Linked DNA regions of Elephas maximus indicus. The protein of the gene in region 2 purifies or fractionates together with the protein of the main gene of each other region. This does not show direct contact. Links are inferred from orthologs where the notes say so. Each region holds a gene or a part of one and is shown on either strand. Other genes may lie near its edges.

The links.
Region 1: the proteins of tubulin alpha-1C chain (region 2) and TXNDC9 purify together in Homo sapiens (co-immunoprecipitation; 3 studies listed by BioGRID and IntAct, counting the BioPlex papers as one, with this or other methods). This does not show direct contact. The link is inferred for Elephas maximus indicus from reciprocal best matches to the Homo sapiens genes TUBA1C and TXNDC9.

What each region holds. Positions count from the first base shown.
Region 1 is NC_064835.1:86,450,820-86,461,121, forward strand, and holds the start of TXNDC9 (thioredoxin domain-containing protein 9), read left to right. Parts: upstream 1-5,909; 5' UTR 5,910-6,051; intron 6,052-8,442; 5' UTR 8,443-8,472; coding exon 8,473-8,661; intron 8,662-10,302. Other genes in the region: EIF5B (eukaryotic translation initiation factor 5B), read right to left, coding at 4,454-4,488. UniProt on the Homo sapiens protein: Significantly diminishes the chaperonin TCP1 complex ATPase activity, thus negatively impacts protein folding, including that of actin or tubulin.
Region 2 is NC_064822.1:104,672,553-104,683,105, forward strand, and holds the start of tubulin alpha-1C chain, read left to right. Parts: upstream 1-5,777; 5' UTR 5,778-5,897; coding exon 5,898-5,900; intron 5,901-10,446; coding exon 10,447-10,553. UniProt on the Homo sapiens protein: Tubulin is the major constituent of microtubules, a cylinder consisting of laterally associated linear protofilaments composed of alpha- and beta-tubulin heterodimers.

The DNA.
Region 1 (10,302 bases), on a different chromosome or scaffold from region 2:
TTGATGGCAATGGGTTTGGTTTTGTTTTTTTTTTTTAATTTGTCACCTGAAGCTCTGGCGGTGTAGTGGTTAAGAACTACAGCTGCTAACCAAAAGGTCGGCAGTTCGAATCCACCAGCTGCTCCTTGGAAACTCTATGGGGCAATTCTACTCTGTCCTATAGGGTTGCTATGAGTCGGAATGGACTCAAGGGCAACGGGTTTGGTTTCAATATTGTTTGTCACTTGGTCTGCTCCCTCTCTAAGAAACTTCAGTTGCTGTGTGCAGTCAGGTCAATTCCAACTCGTAATGAGACTATAGGACAGAGGAGAACTGCCCCATAGGGTTTCCTAGGCTCTACGTTATATGATCTTTATGGGAGCAGATCCCCAGGTCCTTTCTCTCACAGAACCGCTGGTGGGATCAAACAGCTGACCTTTCTGTTAGTAGCTGAGCGCTTAATCGCTGTGCCACCAGGGCTCCTGGAAGCTTCAGAGTGCCTGCTATACTCACAGCTCCTTCTGCACAGGCTCCTTAAGCAGATCGCCATGTTTTCTACCACAAGGACCCTGCTAACCTGATCACACCTGACTGACCAGAATGAATGTCTGCCACTGAGGCAGTTCTTTAAACATGAGGCAACCGTCTAAGTGAGCACCACAACTCCTAGGAAAGGAGGGAGTTGGTCAGTGATGATAGGAACATTGCTGCTGTGTTAGGGGCCGTCAAGTCGGTCCCTGGCTCATGGCACCCCATGCACAACAGGGTCGGAGCGTTGTGATCCGTATGATTTTCATGACTGATTTCTCAGAAGTAGGAGATCGCCAGGCCTTTCTTCCCAGTTTGCCTTAGGCTAGAAGCTCTGCTGAAACCTGTTCAGCATCACGGCAATGAAAGCCTCCACTGACAGACGAGTGGTAGCTGCACTTGAGGTGCACTGGCTGGGAATCAAACCCAGGTCTCCCATACACCTCTAGTTAAAAGCAGAGGAAAAATAATGGAGTCACTATACTGGCTCACCACTGCTGTAGGGAGCCACAGCAACAAATAACCTGATAACTGAAGGCACCCCAGAACTCTGCTGAATCCTGAAAGCCTAGCTCCTGACTGGCATCCACACCTCCATGAGATCTGACAGTGGACAGGTGAAATGATTCTTTTCCTTCCCTCTATATCCTAAGAGCAGCAGGGAAGGTACCTTCAAGGGCTGTATTAATCCCATTACCTAAGGTAACATGCTCGCATTCCTTATAACCTGAAAAATTTAACTACCACACTTAGTTGAGGCACCAATTTAAAACTGACCCTTAAAGAAACAAGAACAGAAAAAAGTATAGACTAATAGAAAAAAGGTAGACAATCCAGATGCCTTCTCTGCACACATCAGGAGGAGTGCATCATAGCACAAGAGCCCCTGAGATAAGGCCCCATTATGTAAATGAGACTGGAAAGGTCACAGGAAGGAAGTGAAAATACTGCCTTATATCTTGTTTGATCTGTAGATCCATAAACCTATTCCTCATCTCAATAAAAGTTGCCCAGTCGACTGAAAGAAGGCAGGCAACTTGTTGAACACCATAAACAAAATCTCATTCTCAGAATTACACAAGCTTGAGCAGAATTCTGGAACTTGTTTTTTTAAACAAATGTCAGTCACTGATATAACAACACATATGCTATACCAATAAAATCAGATATTCAGATTAAATAAATCTGATTTTAAATGAATACTGAATGGCTAAGAATTTAAATGTAAGAGTTAACTAAGCATAAAGCATAAGGATATAAAAATTAAGAACTGTTGAGTATTTTGTGTTCTTTCCAAGAAGTGAAAAGTGGGTCAAGGCCTTATCTTGATAAGGAATAAGCAGCTGCTCTTTTCCCTCCCAGTTCTCTCTGGCTGGAAACATGGTTGGCTTTGGACAGTTTGGGAGGAGGCAAGAGGGGAAGGGGGCAGAGAGGAGGTGGGATGATGGTAAAATCTTTAAAGGGAGGATCTTCATATAAGATAGTAAAACAAGATAGAGTATCTCATTATATGCAAATAGGAGTATTAATCTTAAAATAGGACTTCCCCCTTCCAGACTTTCTTCCTATGTTTTTGTTCATTTTACAAATATTCAAAATAGCCTTGAAAACCAGTACTATTTAAACATAAGCCAAGTTGCCGCCAAGTCAATTCTGACTCAAGCCAATGACAAACTAACTGGAAAAACAGTGGAATTTCTCAGCTCCACTGCCCTCCCCCCGACACCCCAAATATCTTCCATGGAATGCCACTGTAAAAAAGCCAAGCAATTCTTGTCAAACCTCTGCAAAACCCTAGGATTTCTCAGACACAATCTGAAAGCCACTCCAGCAAAGGAGTCCATGAAGCATTTAAAAAAAAAAAAAATTACAAAGTTTATATTAGCATATGATGAAATAAGCGTGCACGTTTTTCAGTTACATCGCCACCACTTTCCCTTCAACATGAGCCAAAGAAACAGAGACTACAGATGAGAGTTCTTTTTGGGGGGTTGGGGGTGGGGGGAGGAGGCAAAACCACTCCTTCTCTACTGCCAAACCAATCCTTTAATACGGCCTCTTGTGTCTGCAAGGAAAACGTTACACCATCCAAGAGAGACTTTATGAATCAATCAGAGACACTCACCTTTCTCTAAAAACACAGAGACAGTAATCAATATCCCCCCAGAATGGCTTTTTCCACTCTGAAGGATCCGGAAAATAAAAAACTGGTAGAAGAATGAGTGAATGAGTAAGTAAATAAATGTGTGTGCATTCTAGTCCAAACAAGCCAACTGTAAAAACAAAAGTGCTTTTTATAAAAATCAGGGAAATTTGAGTACTGTCTGGATATCTGATGATATTTAAGAAATCATTGTTGATATCCTTTAGGCTTAACTATGACATCGTGTTTGTTTAACGTTCTGTTTCTGCAGTTTTCTTTTTTTTTTTAAGAAGTGTTCATCTTTCAGACATACACCTGAAAGATTTACAGAAGAAAAAATTCTGAGATTTGCTTATGATTTCCAGCAGGCGGTTGAAAGAAAATTGGCCATGTGCTAACAATGGTGGAAACTGGTAATAGGTACGTGAGGCTTTACTATACTCATCTATTTTTTGCGTAAATTTGAAAATTTCTTCCAGTGGTGGGGGGGGAGCCTGTGCATCAAAAAATTCTGTCAAAAATTACAGAAACTTGTGTTCCACTAAATCAGCCAGAATACTGCCTGTTTTCTTCTTACTCTTCAGATTTGATTAACAAAAAGTTCTAGTATCCAAACTAACTTCCTCCAACAGACCCGTAACTGAAGTATCAGACTCACCTTGGTGTCTTTAATGCCACTCATCAGCTATATGACTGCCTGGTGAGGCACTAACCTAGGATTCCAATTTATAATCAGTAGTCTTATTTCCACTTCAATACCAAATATCCGTTTTGCTAGGATGAACTGGCACTAACCTAGGATTCCAATTTATAATCAGTAGTCTTATTTCCACTTCAATACCAAATATCCGTTTTGCTAGGATGAACTAGCACAAGTTCTTTTTATTTTTAAAGCTTGTTTTCTCCCCGGCATTTGGAGTAAGTTTGGTGGGCAGTACACACAAAGGAGAAAAATTAACAGATGTTGCTCACTCCCGAGAAGTGAACCCTTTCAATGAAAAGGGTAAAAGGACGCAATCGAACGTCACACACAGAAATGTTCCAAAAATCTCCCGGTAAGTAACTACCGACTGGGTCACCCCCAAAGCCTGTTAAGCGGTTAAAAAGGAGCGCCCCTGGTTGGTTTGTTTCATCTCCTCCTCCTTTCTTAGGGGAGGTGCTAGAGAGCAAAGAAATGACCACAAGACGGGCCGGAAAAAGGAACGAGAGAAGCACGGAGCGCGGACAGGCAGCTCTGTGGTCCCCGAGAGTTGGCTCCAGGTGAGGCCAAGTTCAGGAGCGAGCCCACGCACGGCGCTCCGACTTCAGCCCAGCCCAGCAGGGCGCGGAGAGCTGCGCACGTCGCTCAGACTCCGACTGCCTTCTCGCCCCAAGGACTGCCAGGTACAAAGCACAGGAAGAATTCCTCCCGACCCGCGCCGTGGGGACACAGGGAGCTCGACTCCGCCAGCAGCGGCGCCGCGAAAACAACGCCCACCTGGCCGGCCGGGCTGGCCCGACGAGCCCTCCCAGCCGGCCGGGCTCCCCAAACGCCCGCCCCGCTCCCCAGGCCGGCGCCGCCGGGGACCCCTCTCCGCCAGGCCGGAGAGGCAGCGGGGACGCGGAGCCTCGCGGGGACGACCGAGGCCCTCCGCGCCTTCCGGCACCGGGGCGGCGGAGCTGCCCGTCCCCTGCGGGTCCAGGCCCGCGACCCCTGCGGCTCCAGGCCCGCGCCCCCGGCCCGGTCCGCCCCGCGCCCGCCGGGACCTGCGCGCCCCACCGAGCCGCGGCGGCCGCTGTCGCGCGCACCGAGCCACTGCCTACCTGTCCTCGCTCTTGTTTTTCTGTTTCTTCCCCATCGCGTGTCAGCGAGCCTCGCGGCCTCGGCCCTTTCCTTCGGTCTGTCACAGACCCACTGTCCCCCGGCCGACCGTGCTGTCCGCTCGGCTCCGGCCCCCCTACGCTGCCGCCTCTCGCTCCCGGCTCCCCACAGACCCGCGCACCGGGACAGGGCACATATGGTGTGAGCGCCCAGTGCGCAAGCGCGTCGCCCCGCCGCCGCGGCGTGGGGACGCAGGGCGCGGCTCATCGAGAGCGGCGCCTCGGGTAGAGCGTCGCCTGTGGAGCCGCTGGCTGGGCGGGAGCCCGCGCGCCCCCTGCCGGCAGCGTCGTCCGCGCGCCCACAGCCGCGCCGCTGCCGGGTTCTAGAACCACAGGGGGACAATTAGGTGGCCAGTCCCCACGTCAGCCCCTCTCCGCGGGGGAGGACAGACTTGGGGGATTGGCATTCGGTTCACAAAGGGACTTTTACTTCCACCTTTTAACCGCTGTGCCTTGTATTCCACCTTTTAACCTCTATACCTTGTATTCCAGCTTTTAACCTCTGTGCCTTTGTAGTCTCAGCGGCAGGAAGTTCAGTAAAGAACCGTAATGAGCTGAAGACGAACTCTCTGGGTATTCCCAACGGAGAGACATCCAGGGCAAAAGTGGGGTCTTTCAATAGCATGCGTGGATTATGAAGTATATTCACTCACTGAAGAAAACATGTAACGAGGACACACGACCACGGCAGGTTGCCACCCAGCCTGTTCTGACTCGCGGCCACCCCGTGGGTTTCAGGGTGGACCTACCCCATAGGTGGCTGCCTTTCAGAAGCGGAGGGTCAGACTTCCTTCGGAGGCGCCTCTGGGTGGGTTTAAACGGGCGACCTTTCATAGTAAGGAGCTTAACCGTTTGTACCACCCGAGGACTCCTGTACCCATTAATGGCCCCCAAATCGGTTGTGATCTTTACATTTAAAGTAAGAGTAAGTCCCTAAAAGTTAGTATGTTAGGGAAGTCACTAAGGAACCTACTAGGGTAATGAGAATGTTCTACATCTTGATCCCGGGAGTGGGGTGCTACGACAAGTCTCACCTATGTAAAAACTCATCGTGCTGTGCAAGTTAGACCTCAAGTGTTTAGAAAATGTTCAATAAACAGAGAACGCAAACGGAGACTGACTGTCAGTCCTGAGCAAGATCGCCGCTATCTCATTTCTGAGGAAACGTGATAATGACTACTGAGGGACTGTGCTTAAGAAAGCCGGGCGCCAGGCTCAGTACTGTAAAAACTACAACTCCCAGCGTACTTCGCTCCCTCTTCCGCCGGGCAGTTCACCGGAAGGGAGGCGAAAGATAGGCAACCACGGGTCCCGAGGTGCTTCGGGTGGAGGGGGCGGCGCGCGCGCAGAAGCGCTCGCCGCACGAGCCGCCCCTCCTCCTCGGGTGTGGCAGGTTGTATCGCGAGAGGACCGGAGCCAATGAGGAGGCGGAGAAGACGGCTGGCTCACGGCCGCCCGCCGCTGCTGCGAGGCTGTAGCGTTAGTGGGCCGCGTTCGTGGACCGCCTGCTCCTCCGCTTCCCAGGCGCACCGTGAGCTCAGGTGAGTGAGGCGGAGGGCGGTGTGGGAAAACGGGCCACCTCGTCCCGGTGCTGATGGACACACGGCCGGCCCACAGCCTGCAGGCCGGGGAGGGGCGCGGCCCGGCCCGGTGTCCGTGCGCCCCCGGAGGGTGGAGGTCGGGGTCCCCGGAGCGCTGCCCTCATTGGTGCCCGGGGCCTCGGCAGCGGTGAGGATCCTCTGGGGAAGGCCCCTTGACTGTCCTGGCGGGTGCCCGGAGGGAAACTGAGGAAACGTCGGGTAATGTGGGGACAAACTGTGTCCCTTCCCGCCCTTCCGGCTGTGCTGGAAAAGAGAAGAGTCGGACGCTCATGGTTGGAGAATGAGTTACGGGACCGCTAGACCGTCTCTGTGAGCGTTTTTCCTTTCTGAGTGCGGTGAACCTCGGGAACAGAGGCTGTTAGTCGCTTCTGTTTCCATTTCTTCCAAAATGAAATTCTGGGCTCATCCCGTGAAACGTCACGGGGAAGCTTCGCTGCGCCCCTAGTAAGAACAGGTCCTGGCGCGCAGCGCAGTGTTTAGGACCCAGTTTCTGCCTCGCCTGGTCCCCGCGCCGACCGACGTGGTTCGTGGGAGGCCCGGGGTGGGAGGAAGTGAGCGTTTATTTGAAACACAGCTTTTTTTCACTTTTATAGCATAATAGCATGTTAGAGGAGCTTACGATTTGGTTTTTTAAACTCAGAAATAGGTGTGTTTTGACACTTAGGGCAATTTGAGGGGAAGCTGGGCGCGTGCTCATTGAACGTGGAGCAAGGAACACCGCTGTGTTCCGGGCGCTGTGCTAGCTAGCTAACTCTGGGAGGCAAAGATGAAATTGGGTATACTTTTCAACTGCTTTTCTCGTAAAGAAAAAGGAATTACAAGTGACGTTTGCAAAGAGGTTATTTTTCTTCAGCTCAACAAACATTTATGGAAGGCTTCTGTGTGGGCCAGACACTGTCAGAAGCTGGATGAATAAGTTCAGAATTTATTCAGATTTTCTCGGTGCTTCACTACTGTATGAAATATAGTTTACCAAGATGGACAGATTCCTGCCCTCGTAAGCAAATGGTAAATCTTCTTTCTGTGATATTTACCCAAAGATTCAGCTAGACAACACAGAAAATTGCTTGTTGTGGGCCAAAAATAATATTGTTTGTTTTAAAACATATGTAGAGATAGATCTCCCTTTCTAATCTGAATTAGTTAGGTTTTATAATACTTTGACAAAACGGACAAATTTTTAGAGCACTGTTTTACAAAGGGAGCCCTAGTAGGGCAGTGGTTAAGAGCTGGGCTGCTAGATAAAAGGTCAAAAGGTTGAATCCACCAGCTGCTCCTTGGAAACTCTATGGGGCAGTTCTACTCTGTCCTGTCCAGTGGCTGTGAGTTGGAATCGATTCAACGGCAATGGGTTTGGTTTTTTGGTATTTTACACAAAGCAGTGTTGATGGAAAAATCAATTTTTTTTAAATCTTTGGAGTGTTGTGTTGTTTCACATCAGAGTTAAGAACACAGACTTATTAAATCAATACCTGTTTCAATTTTTGTGGCTTTGTGTATTTGAGTCCCTGAGTGGTGCAACCAGCTGTTAAGCACTTGATTCTAGATGAAAGGTTGGCAGTTCAAATCCACCCAGAGGCACCTCAGAAGACAGGCCTGGTGATCTGTTTCTGAAAGGTCACAGGTTTGAAAACCCTATGGAGCAGTTTTACTCTGCACGCATGGGGTTGTCGTGAGCCAGAATCAACTGGAGGACAACTAACAACAACAAACACTTTGTTAGTAACGGGAGAAAGGGAATGGAACTGACATCTGTGGAATCTGGGGCTCTGTTCTTGACATACATTGTTACTGGGTCTCTTAGGGCCTAGAGACATTAATCTTGCTTGAGCAGAGACCGTGAAAAAACTCTGCCTTCCGTTCAACTCTGCTGTATGTTGAAGTAAAGTTTGATGTGTATGTTTATGTGAAAACCTCAGTACAGTTATACCTTGCTCTTTCACAGTCGTTTATGCTTTCCTTCCCTTTTCCTTTGGTAAAGAACACTTATGGTCAGTGCACGTCACTAGGTATGACTCCCAGCTTTTCAACTCTCTTTGGTCTGGTGATGCTCTTGAATACTTCTCTTTGTTTTGGTATATTAAAACAAACTAAGTCAGAAGCATCCTAACTTCACTGTATATAGTTTTTGAGTTGTGTAACTATAACCAATTGAAAATTAAATTTTAAAACATTTAAATAGAAATTCTTGAGCCTAAAGTCAAGTGCTTGACTAGAAGCAGAATACTAAGTGCCATACAGATTATATACTTACTAGAGTTTTTGAGAATGGGAGGGAAAACTTTTCTTATTGTTTGTAATTTTCTTCTACTTTTATCAATCTTGCCCTAGCACCAAGGCTGAACTGTGCCATTTTGAAGAATGGAAGCCAATGCATCTGTTGACATGTTCTCAAAAGCCCTGGAGCACCAGCTGCTTCAGACCACCGCGCTGGTGGAAGAACATCTCAATTCTGAGATCCAGAAACTGGATCAGATGGGTGAGGACGAACTGGAACGCCTCAAGGAGAAGAGGCTCGAGGCGCTGAGGAAAGACCAACAGCAGAAACAAGTAACCTCTCTGCCCTGCTTTCTGAAGTTGCTGTAACAGGGTGCTCCTAACAGCTTACATACACATCTGCTCTAGTGGCTTACATTTTCGTCCTCAATTTTTAGTGAATTTGGAACTGAAAGTACTTAGGACTGTTAAAAATTTAGTCGGGGTGGGGAAAAAAAGCATTCAGAAGTTAGCCTAATTCATGTATTAATCCAGAATCAAGTAAAAGAGACAGATCCTGCTCAAAATTATTTCCAGAGCTCAGATTTTTTTAATTGAGGAGAGGGTGGTCTAGGAAGAGCAGGGGAGCTCTAGGAGTCAGTAGTTTCCATTTCAGGTAGCACTAACCAAAAACCAAACCCGTTGGCGTTGAGTTGATTTGACTCATAATGACCCTAGAGAACAGAGTAGAGCTGTCCCCTAGAGTTTCAAAGGAGTGACTGATGGGTTTGAACTGCCGTCCTTTTGGTTAGCAGTCATAGCTCTTAACCACTGTGCCACCAGGGCTCGCAGGCAGTACTAAAGCCTGTCGTAATTTAGCCATCTCCAAAGCAGGAATGACAAATAAGAGCTGTAAAGCAATTTATGTTGAAGAAATTACCCAGGCACTTCCAATGTAACAGTTTAATTATACGGCTTATTGAAAGAATTCATGCTGGTCTCAAGGTAAGGTAGTCTCAGCTCTTTCCTTGTTGTCCCGTAGAGTGTGTGGAATAAACTCATAGTTGTAGACTCTGAAAGGAGTTGGGTGAGATTCTGTAAATTGAATTTTTATAAAAAATGTGCTTCCATTGGTTTAAGTTACATTGAAATTCCTCATCACCTTTGATTCATCTTCACTTGGCTGCAGCTGAAACGTGAGTCTGAAGAAACAGGCAGGGAGTTTTGTTTGTGCTCTTGTAGCACTTCTGATGTGTTACACCCTCACTGTTAAGAACAGTTGCTACAGAAATGAAAGAATCTTTCATATGACCGAGTTCAAATTTTTGTATCTTGAGTTTTCTAGAACAGGATGTATTACATGGTTTTGAAATCATACTCCATCCTATTAAGAGAATGCTAATAATTCATAAGCAGAGGACAGATTTTTGGAACTGAAGGGTTTAAAATAGTACTGTATATGATTCTTGACAGCAGTGGGTTTGGTTTTTTGTGTATGATTTGCTATGAGTCAGAATCAATTCGACAGCAGTGGGTTTTTTTTTGTATACGATTAGACTCTGCCACAAACTCATATTTTGTGATCACAGTTAAGTACACTGGTAATTGCTAATGCCCAGCTGAAAAAAAAAGTCATAACCGTGATCAAGACCAAGCCCGCTGGTGTCAAGCTGATTCCAGCTCAGCGACCTTATAGAACAGAGTAGAACTGGCCTCTGAGGCTTCCAAGGCCATAATCTTGACACAGAAGCAGACTGCCACAGCTTTCTTCTGCAGTAACTATAATATGTCTGTAGAGAGACTGAACCTATCTGATGTGCAGTGAGGAATATATGTTAATTAAATAACATCCCAAATGAAGTTGTTAGCAATTCACGACAGTAGTCTGCATATGTGTAATTAAAAACCAACTGATATGGACATACTTCGGGCCTTTTTTTTAATTATTAATAATATAAATTGGTTTAAGATGAATTTGTCATGGAGTAACTCAGG
Region 2 (10,553 bases):
AATCCCCCAGAACGGGGCTAGCATTTCACACACAAAGTCCTGAAGAAAGGGAAGTAGACCAGAACACTCTGTTCAGATTAGGGAGGAAGAAAATTTCGAAAGAATTTTCAAGAATGTTATAAAGTTTGCAAATACTTGTAGGATAAAAAAAAAAAAAAAAGCAGTAAATAAAAGTTAAAGGATCAAAGGATTATTTTTCCCAGAAAAGGTTATCGAGAAGTCCTGCTCCCCTGTATTTACAGGCTGTAAAAAAAAACAAACTGCCTTAAAATGTATACATTTAAAAAATGCTTATTGTAAAGGAAAAAAAAAAAACCATTGCCATTGAGTTGATTCCTGCTCATAGCAACCCTATAGGATAGGGTAGAGCTGCCCCATAGGGTTTCCAAGGAGCAGCTGGTGGCTTTGAACTGCCAACCTTTTGGTTAGCATCCACAGCTCACCATAGCTCTTAATATTGTAAAGAGGGTGGTTGAAATTAACTGTAAAGCGTCCTAACTCTCCCCTGGAGTTCTTAAAAGTAGGATAAATTCCCTTTTTTCTTGTTGGATTAGTAGTAGCCTTGCCTTCAGATAACAAATTCAATAAATGATTTTTCTAGGTCTTTTTTTTCCCTGTGAACCAGAGCCAGTACAGGCTGAGGAAGGCCCTAGAGGTAAAAAAGGCAACTGTCATTTTAGTCATTTGCTTTGGGTTCTACTTGTGGCATAGGGTAAATTATTTCCAGTCTCGGGACCTTAGTTCCCACAGTTCCATAATAAATACGTTTGTAAAAAACTTATTTTTGCCATCAACAGATGAATAAACAAAATGTGGTATATCCATACAAAGGAATATTATTTAGCCATAAAGACAAATGAAAGTCTGATACATGCTATGACACAGATAAACCTTGAAATATTATGCTGAATGAAATAACTCAGACACAAAAGGACAAATATTGTATGACCCCATTTATATGAAATATCTAGAATAGGCAAATGCACAGAGATAAAAGTTTATTAGTAGGTTACCAGGTGCTGGGGGTAGGGAGAATGGGGAGTTATTGCTGAAGGGGTTTTGGGTTTCTTTTTAGGGTGATGAAACACTTTTGGAAATGGGTATGGTGATGGTAGCTTAACATGTTAAATATGATTAATGTCACTGAATTATACACTTTAAAACAGCAGACTTTTTGTTATATGTATTTCACCACAAAATTTTAAAAAACCACAACACTTCTTTTTGAAGATTTTCCTAAGGCACTATTGGTGTAGAAAATACTTTGTTACTATAAGTTGCTGTGTGAGCACATATATCATTATGACTCATAATATAACATGTAACATATAAATTCTTCAGTGTTACTAGTATCCTAGTACAGAAAACAGGAGTTAGACTGAAGAAACATAAGGTTAGCTTTAAGTTCAGTTTCATCTGAACTCTTTTTTCTCTTTACTAATGTTTTGTGGACATGCTGTTTGCAAATTCCCCTGAGCCAGAGTAGGTATGCAATACTTCTTCCCCTAAAGCTTTGTAAACTCCAGCAAAAGCCCCGGCTGTCAATATTTATCTAATATACTGATGATTCTTAGGAGGCTCTGACGGAATGAAGCATGTTCTCAGCTCTGCTGATTGTTACACAGCTCACATATAGGGCAGGAGCCTTGAGTAAGAGCATCACAGAAGCTAGGGCCAAGGAGGCCCTATAGGTGATCTTTATCTTGCACATGAGGAACCTGGGGCCAAAGGAGGAGAAATGCCCATCCAAAGTTACATAGCCAGCCAATGGCAAATCCCAGGGCTAGGTCCTCTGTCTCCTTGTGGATAACGCAACATGTTTTTAGTGAATTGTGGGGAGTTTCAGCTAGAAAGTAAGATAGGTTTCTGCCGTTCCTCACTCAGTAATTTTTAGACCCAGAAAGACCTGTCTGTTTACATTAAGGCTAAGTTTTTTAATGTCCACCAGGAAGGAGATTTTTCCCAAAAATATTCCAGCAGAGGGCAGCAAGCTTAAATGTGGATCCTAGAGCTTAAAATGGTTTTAAAATGAAAGAGGATGCCTTTTCATCTCTAATTTTGTCCACCACCATTACCTCCAACAATAAACAGCTACCAATTTTATCTTAATGCTTTACTATGTGCCAGGCACTGTGTATATGCTGTGTGATATTTATCTCATTTAATCCTCCTAACAGTGTATCTACCTATGAGTTATGTTATCCCCATTTTACACACGAGGAGATTTAGAGATTAAGAATTTGCCCAAGGACCCACAGCTAGAAAACAAAAAAGCCAAAATCCAGACTGAGGTTATCAGAACTGCAAAGCCCTTAAAACATCTCATGGTTCCTCAGGGGCTGTCTGCTTGAGTATGAGGTGCCGCCTGGTGAGAGGAAGAAAAAGACGTTAATGAATCATACTAAAATGTAATCTAAAAACAAATTTTAAATTTTTATTTTTTTTTAATGTTTTTAAAAATTGCCACACTGGGCTGTTCCAATCATGGTCACCAGTGACTTCCATGTAGCTAAGTCCAGTGGTCAATTTTCAGTCCTCATCCTGCTTGAACTTTCAGTAGTATGTGATACTGCTGATCACTCCTTGGTGATCAGGACTTGGTTTTTTGACTTGGTTTGCAGGACCTTACACTCTTGGTTTTCCTCCTAACTCATTGGCTGGTCCTTTTTAGTATCCTTTCTCTGGTTCTGCCTCTTCTCTCAGAACTCAGTCCTTGGTCCTCTTTTCTTCTGTCTACACTCACACCCTTGTGTTCTCATCCTGTGGCATGACTTAAGATGGTATTTAAATGTGTATTTCTACCCCAGATCTCTCACCCTTGAAATCCAGACATGTATATTCAACTTGTACTAAATATCACCTCCACATGGAAGTTGACATCTCGACTTAACAAGCCCCTAATATCCCCCCTCCAAATCTGCTTTGTTCGCAGCCTTTGGTATCTATTGATGGCAGATCCAGCTCTCACTCACTCAGGCTAAACACCTTAGAGTAATCCTTGGCTTCTCTTTCCCTCACAACCCACAGGTAAGCCTTTAGGAAATCATTTTGGCCCTATCTTTACAATGTAGCCAACTGCAACCACTTTTCTCTGCCTCCCCTGCTACCACTCTGGTCTGAGTCTTCATCATCTTTCAAATAGATTACTGCAATCGATATCATCTTACGATATCTCCCTGCTTCTACCTTTCCCCTCCAGAATGATCTTTTTAAAAACTGAATCAGATCATCTCACTTCCCTGTTCCAAATCCTACAATGGCTCCCCACGTCAGAGTAAAAAATGCAAGACTTACAGGAGCTTACAAGGAGCTAAAAGAGGTGGCTCCCCATTTCCTTTCTGACCCGTCTCCTACAATTCAGTATTTCCAGCCATTCTGCCCTCCTTGGAACCCTGGTGGTACAGTGGTTAAGAGCTCAGCTTATAACCAAGAGGTCAGCAGTGTGAATCCACCAGCCACTCTTTGGAAACCCTATAGGGGCAGTTCTACCTGTTCTATAGGGTGGCTATGAGTTGGAATCGATTCTTCAGCAACAGGTTTGATTTTCTGCCCTCCTTGCTCTCCTTCTAGGAACACTGAAGGTTCACTCTTGCCTGGGAGTCTTTGCTCCCAGGTGGCAGCTTGGGTAACCCCTCTTGACCTTCAAATCTTTGTTAAAATATCAAGTTTTCATTGAGTCCACTTTATTTATATTGCAACCTCCCCTGCTCCATCTCCCTAGCACTCTGATTTGTTTTTGCTTTATATTTTCCCATAGTACTCTTCACCTTCTAACAAATTATATAATTCACTTACTTTTTACATTGTCTTCCCTATCTCTCTCTAGAATGTAAACTCCATAAGGCAGGGATCTGTTTTGTTCACATATGTATCCCCCAAGCACCTAGAAACTGTGCTAGATATACTTGTGGAGGGAATTAAAAAAAAAATTTTTTTTTAATTCTTCTGAGACTAAAACGTTTAGTAACAAACCAATTTATTCCAAATTTCAGAATATCCTGGCACAAAATAGATGCGTAATAAGCATATGTAATTTGTGTGTAATCTGGGCACACATTTCCAAAGCATCCATTTTATGTGTAAGAGTTGGAATTTATTTTGAGTTCTGTCTATTCTGTGTCCAAAGCCCAGTTTTGCTTTCATTTTGCATTTTTCTACTTCAGGAAGAAGCCCTGTAACTTCTGTTTAACAGTCAGTTTTGTTCTCTGAATACGTCCATAAACTCTATCACCCAGAGATGGTTAAGGAATTTGATTAAGAGCTAAGATAATGAAGTTGCAGAGAAAGAAAAACAACTGAAATAAAGGATGCTTCTGAGAAATAACCCTTTGGAGGGATGGTCAGAGCAGTATATGCAGGATAAAGCAGTAAATGGCAGCACTTGAGTGCACTCACAGATCTGGGGTCTAACTTCAATTCCATCAATTTCCCCAAAAAAACCCATTGCCATGGAGTTGATTCTGGCTCACAGTGACCCCATAGGGTTTCCAAGGCCACATCTTTCTCCCCTGTGGAGCCGCCAGTGGTTTCCAGCCACCGATCTTTGAGTTAGCAGTGACTGCTTTAACCACTGCCCCGCCAGAGCTCCTGCTCACCTGATATTGATTTGTCCGTTTTCTCACCTATAAATAGTAGTAAAAATGCCTGTTTGAGTACCCTGCATTTCTACCCCGGATGTACTGGACCAATCTGCATTTTAACAGGATCCCCAGGTGATTCTTAAGTATAATAAAATTTGAGAAAGGCTGCTCTACTTGTGGGAGCCCCAGTTGGTGCAGTGGTTAAAAGTTACTGAGAGCGACGGCAGCTAATTAAAAGGATGGCAGTTCCAATCCACCAGCTGCTCCTTGGAAACCCTATGGAGCAGTTCTGCTCTGTCCCATAGGGTCGCTATGAGGGCAACAAGTAGGGCTCTACTTGTGGTTCTCAGAATTGGTCCGACTCTCAGGTCAGCACCATGAACATCACCTGGGAAATTGTTAGGAATGCAAATTCTGAGCAGGGGCCCTAAGCAGAAAGAACCGGTTTGAAGCCCCGGTTAGCACCTACGCGAAGAGATTGTGAGTTGTCAGGGACCAAAGGGTTCATTTAAAGAGAAGGTAGGAAAACCAGTAAGAAAAGCAATCAAAAAGGTGGGAATAAGATTCAAAGCCCCTTCGTGAATAATTAAGGCCTAGAATGGGGAGCAAGGCCTTCGCTCTCGGAAATCTCTCAGCTGCGAGGGGAGCCAGCGCCCGGCTCCAGGTGGGGGCTTTCCAACCGCGCCCGGACGCGCCGAGAAGGAAGAGGCGCCTTTCAGGCGGTGTAGGGAGAGCCGGCAGCGCGCAGGCCAGGCCTTGTAGGGAGTGGAGCGGAGGTGACTGGCTGGAGGCCACGCGGACTCCCCCTCCGAGGGTCCGAGGCCGCCCAGACTTGCCTGGCAGTGGGAGGGGCTTCCCTCCTGGCCTCCGGCCGCTGCTCGGCTTACCTGACGCTCTCGCTCCCTTGGGCTTTGCCCACCTGACACTCCCCACACACCTCGAGGACGGTGTAGATGCTTCACTTCCTCCCTCCTCCTCCCAATCGCCTACTCTTTCCTCTTCCCTACCCCACCCGGTCCATTCTCTTGCCCCGAGGGTTACTCCTCCCCTTCCTAGTTCTGGCTCCTTACAAATAGTTTGGTTTGAACTTTTGAACCCACCAATCAGAGCCGCTTGCCCTCCCCTCTCCGCAGGCCGGGAGGAGCCGCGCGGCCGGGGCGGGCCCACGACGCGTGGCCGGGGGAGCGTATAAAGGGCCGGGTGGGCCGCAGCCTCTCCCTACTTCTCCCCCGGACTCCTTGGCAGTCTGTTAGTGGGAGGTTCCTGCTGCTAGCCACTCGCCTTCTCTGTCCCCGCGGGTCCCTTAAGAGTCCCGTCATGGTGAGTGGGGACCCTAGGATAGCGCGGGCCGGAGCCTCACCCCGGGCTCGCGGTACGGGGAGAGCGCGCGTTCCGAAGGGCTGCAGGAGCCGCAGAGCCACCGGCTGCACGTGGGGCCGCGCCCGCACAGCTCCGGGCTCCTCTGGCCAAACGCGCGTCTGGTGGCCGTACTGGGGTAGCGGGGTTCACCGAACTTGCCCTCCACTGGAAACCCTGGTGGTGTAGTGGTTAAGAGCTACGGTTGTTAACCTAAAGGTCGGCAGTTCGAATCCACCAGGGGCTCCTTGGAAACCTTATGGGGCAGCTCCACTCTGTCCTATAGGGTCGCTATGAGTTGGGATCCACTCGACCGCAACGGGTTTGGTTTTTTGGGTTTGCTTCGGGCCGGAAGGCGCGGCCCAGGCACTGTCCTCGGTGGAAGTGGAAAGCCCCCTTGGTCCAAGGGTCCGCCACCGCTCAAGAAAGGGCAGAAGGTCTTTACATTGGCCCCCAAGGATCTGAGGAAACTAAAAATCCTACCCCCTAGTTTCCCCAAATGACCTCACCTTCCTGCTGTCGTACGCGCTGGGCCCCGGAAGTTGAATGGGCAGGTTGTCTCTGGTACTTCCCGCACGGAAGGTGCGAACGCTCCTGGGCGCCCCCTCCCCAGCGCCCTGTGACTCGCTGCTGAGTCACCTGTGGCCGGGCTCTGGCTAGAGCTTCAATTGCACCATTCCACCTGAAGGACGGAGGCGGGCCCGTCCCTTGAAGGGAATAACTAAGTCTCACAGGTCTAATCCTACGTTTCTAGTGTTAACTTGGAAACCCTGGTGGCACAGTGGTTAAGTGCTAGGCTGCTAACCAGAACGTCTGCAGTTCGAATCCACCAGGTGCTCCTTGGAAACTATGGGGCAGTTCTACTCTGCCGTATAGGGTCGCTATGAATCGACTCGAGCGCAATGGGTACCGAAATGTTAACTTAGTGAGGTGTTTATAGCTGAAAGTTTCCACTTAAGGGAGATTTTTAAAATGAATCCATAAAAGGGTTTTGTATAAGACCAGAGTAAACTACCGCTGATTATTTACGCTTTCAAGACACATGAAACTGTACACAACTGGAATATTTTCTATATAGCTACCAAAGGTGTTGGGAAACAACTATCTTGGACAACACCGGGCCTACTTAGAATAAGCCATGTTTTTAAACAAGGATTTGTGTTTCAAATGTTTCTTAAAGTATCTAAAAAGGGGAGGGATGTAGTAGTGAATAATCGACCAGTTCCTGTCTTCGGAGACTGCCACAGCTAACAAAAATCTGAATACTGTAACAACTTGTCTGGGTGCCTTTGAGCAAGCAAGAACAAAAAGATACTGGTAAAAGTGTGGTTCAGAAAGTAGTGGGCTTGTACTAAAGGGCAGGAAAGCATTGGCCACGGGTCTGCTGGTGCTTATTCAGTTCAAGCCATACTAAGTAAATCCATCACCTGTGCCTTATTCTCCCAAGTGGGCAGGGGGGAGAGGAGGGCAAACAGTGGCCACTGGCTTTGCCTGCTCAGCTTCTAGGGAGAGTTTAGACTGGTTAGCATTGAAACTTTTTGACTCAAAAAGTTTCAATGGAAGAACAGCTTCTTTAGGATGAGAGGATCTTCTCCGGTACCTTTCTTTGGGCCTGAGGGGTGTTATGAATGGATCTCTGGTTCTTTACAGCTTTCTGGGGCTGTGGTATTTCCAAAGTCCATTTAAAGGTAAACATGATGCAATGGTAAATAGTCATGGGCTCATTAGAACGAACAACTCATTCTCCCACAGCCCTGGAGCTGGACGAGTAGGCACAGGTAATACTGAGCTTGCCGATGTGGTCAGGACACCATGATTGTTTTATGGGGAGTGTAGGCGGGAAGGAGTGATCATAAGTTAAAGGTTGTGAGTGATTCAGGGGTTGTATTATCTTGGGTTATGAAACTAGGCCCTTTGAGAACTTAGCTGGCTGTTCAATTTTCTTTAGTTTCTTATTAGCAGCTTTTAAAAACTTGAAACCATACTATTCAGGGAAAAATGTAATGGGACATTTTTGGTGTGGATATTTTGAAAGTCCTGTGCCAGTCTAAAAAGTAGCTAATCTGGCTGCTGATGAGATAAAATAAACAAGCTTTATGTTTTTTCTGTGAAGTCTGTGGGTATAGATTCTATGTTAATTACCTTATTTTTGCTAGGTAGGAATGATTTTCTACCTTCTAAATGACTGTTCAGCATGTAAAAAGGAAAATATTTCTCTGATATCATCAAATTCTTGAAACCATAGGCTTTTTGTCACAACAGCAGAGAGATATATACATTTTACTAGAGAGCAGCTAATTTCTTAATTTCAGTGATGACACTTACTGGGAAACCCTGGTGGCGTAGTGGTTAAGTGCTATGGCTGCTAACTAAAAGGACAGCAGTTCGAATCCACCAGCTGCTCCTTGGAAACTATGGGGCAGTTCTACCCTGCTCTGTAGGGTGGCTGTGAGTTAGAGTCAACTTGACAGCAATAGGCTTGGTTTTTTGGGGGGCGGGGGGGGGATGACACTTACTAGGCTTTATTAACATGAGTCAATGATTTGTTGATGATGAAGGAAAAATGTTCTTCCTAAAGATTAAATTCTCCTATAGGTTGCCTCTGACCACACCGTTCAAATACAGCTAACTGCTGCTCATCTAGCACTTTCTCCCTGAGTCATATGGCTGTAATTTGCTGGTTTTAGAGGGGGGCAGAGAAAAGCTCTTGTCTTTTTAAAGAATAGAATTAAAGAGGGACTAGAATAAGCTCACTAGTTACACAATCACACAGGAAATGAATCAGCTGGAAGGGGAACTTTGCATGAGTTTAAGGAATCAGCAGGCATATTTCCGAAGAGCAGCTTGTCATTCTAACATGGTAGAAACCTGACCTTCAATATCTAATGTGGCTGCAAAGCAAGGGTCTGGCCTAGTGTGGGACCAAGAACCAGATTTGACCTTTTGCATCTGCTTTTCTGAAAGTAGCCTGAGCAATTAAGGAGCTCTTTGTCTTTTTAAGAAAACCCTGGTGGCATAGTGGTTAAGTGCTACGGCTGCTAACCAAAGGGTTGGCAGTTCAAATCCGCCAGGTGCTCCATGGAAACTCTATGGGGCAGTTCTAGTCTGTTCTATAGGGTTCCTATGAGTCGGAATCGACTTGATGGCACTGGGTTTGGGTTTTTTTTTGTTCATCTTTCTAAAAGGGGCCCCTGGTTGCACAGTGGCTAAGCACTTGCCTGCTAACCAAAAGGTCAGCGGTTCAAACCCACCAGCTGCTCCACAGGAGAGAGATGTGACAGGCAGCTTCTGTAAAGATTTACAGCCTTAAAAACCCTTTGGGGCAGTTCTACTCTGTCCTGTAGGATCGCTGTGAGTCAGAATTGACTCGACAGCAGTGGATTTGGTTTTGTCTTAAGTAGCCAGGCAAGTAGGGGCTACACAGGCTACCCCCCCTCCCTGTACCTGGCAAGCCAACTTTGGGGTGGGGAGGTATGATGCAGTCATGCATATTCATTCATTGATTAGGTTGATCATAAGTATGCATTAAGGCTCCCGTCATGCATATTCACTGAGGTTCCAGTGACTAGGGAACCATGGACCTTGGAGCTCTCTTTTTGAGGCCTAATGGATTGGTGAGAATATCCGTGCACTGGATAGAATTTGACAAGTTCCTGGGGACAATGGAAGCTACCCGCAGGGATCTCTCTCAGACCTTGCCTGCTGCTTCCCTTTGCTTATACCCTTTCTGGTTATAAATTTTTTAAATGTAAGAATTAGGTAACAGTCTCCATGAATTTTGTGAGCCATTCTAGAGAATTAACGAACCCACAGGGGCAATGAGCCAGCAGGGGCTAGCAGTTCACAGCTGATTTGTGTAGACCCAGCTCCAGGTGGCTGGACGATAAGGAAAGGCTGCACGGGCAGGTGATGGAGAGTCTTCTAGCTTGTGTCCTAGTTCCAAGGGACTAGAAAGAAGGGAGGTCAGCTGGTCTGAAGTGCAGGGACTTGTACAGACTTCTGAGCCTAGGGCTGGTCCCTGATGACCTGGCTTCAGGTGGCCAGGAATGTTTTGACCCAGCTCAGGATAGCTAGGATATCTAACTGTGGGTAGTTAGGGTCAGAGAGGGAGGAATTGCCATGGAATTGATTGGCAGCGAGGTATAGTGGTGATATGGGAAGGTGAGGCCTGGATACAATCCCGGCAGAGAATTGGGTTCATGCTGACCCTTGCCACAGAAAAAAAAAAAAAAAAAAGTGGTAAAGGTGGGGTTTGCCTACCTTGCCCCTTTAGCACGGAAGTTGGTAGTATCATACCTAGTTTGTCATTAGCATAATCTTCAGTTTTCCAAAGCGTTTCTTCTGAATTAGGTCTTCATCAAAGATTGGTACTTGTGAAATAGTCACTGGGCAGCAGTGGCCTCCAGAGAGGTGGTTACTGATCCTGAAGATTAGTCATTTAGGTGTGAATCATTCCTAAGCATCCTATCTGTTGTTTCATATTCTAACTTTTCCTATCTTCCTCCCACAGCGTGAGTGCATCTCCATCCATGTTGGCCAGGCTGGTGTCCAGATTGGCAATGCCTGCTGGGAGCTCTACTGTCTGGAACACGGCATCCAGCCTGATGGCCAGATGCC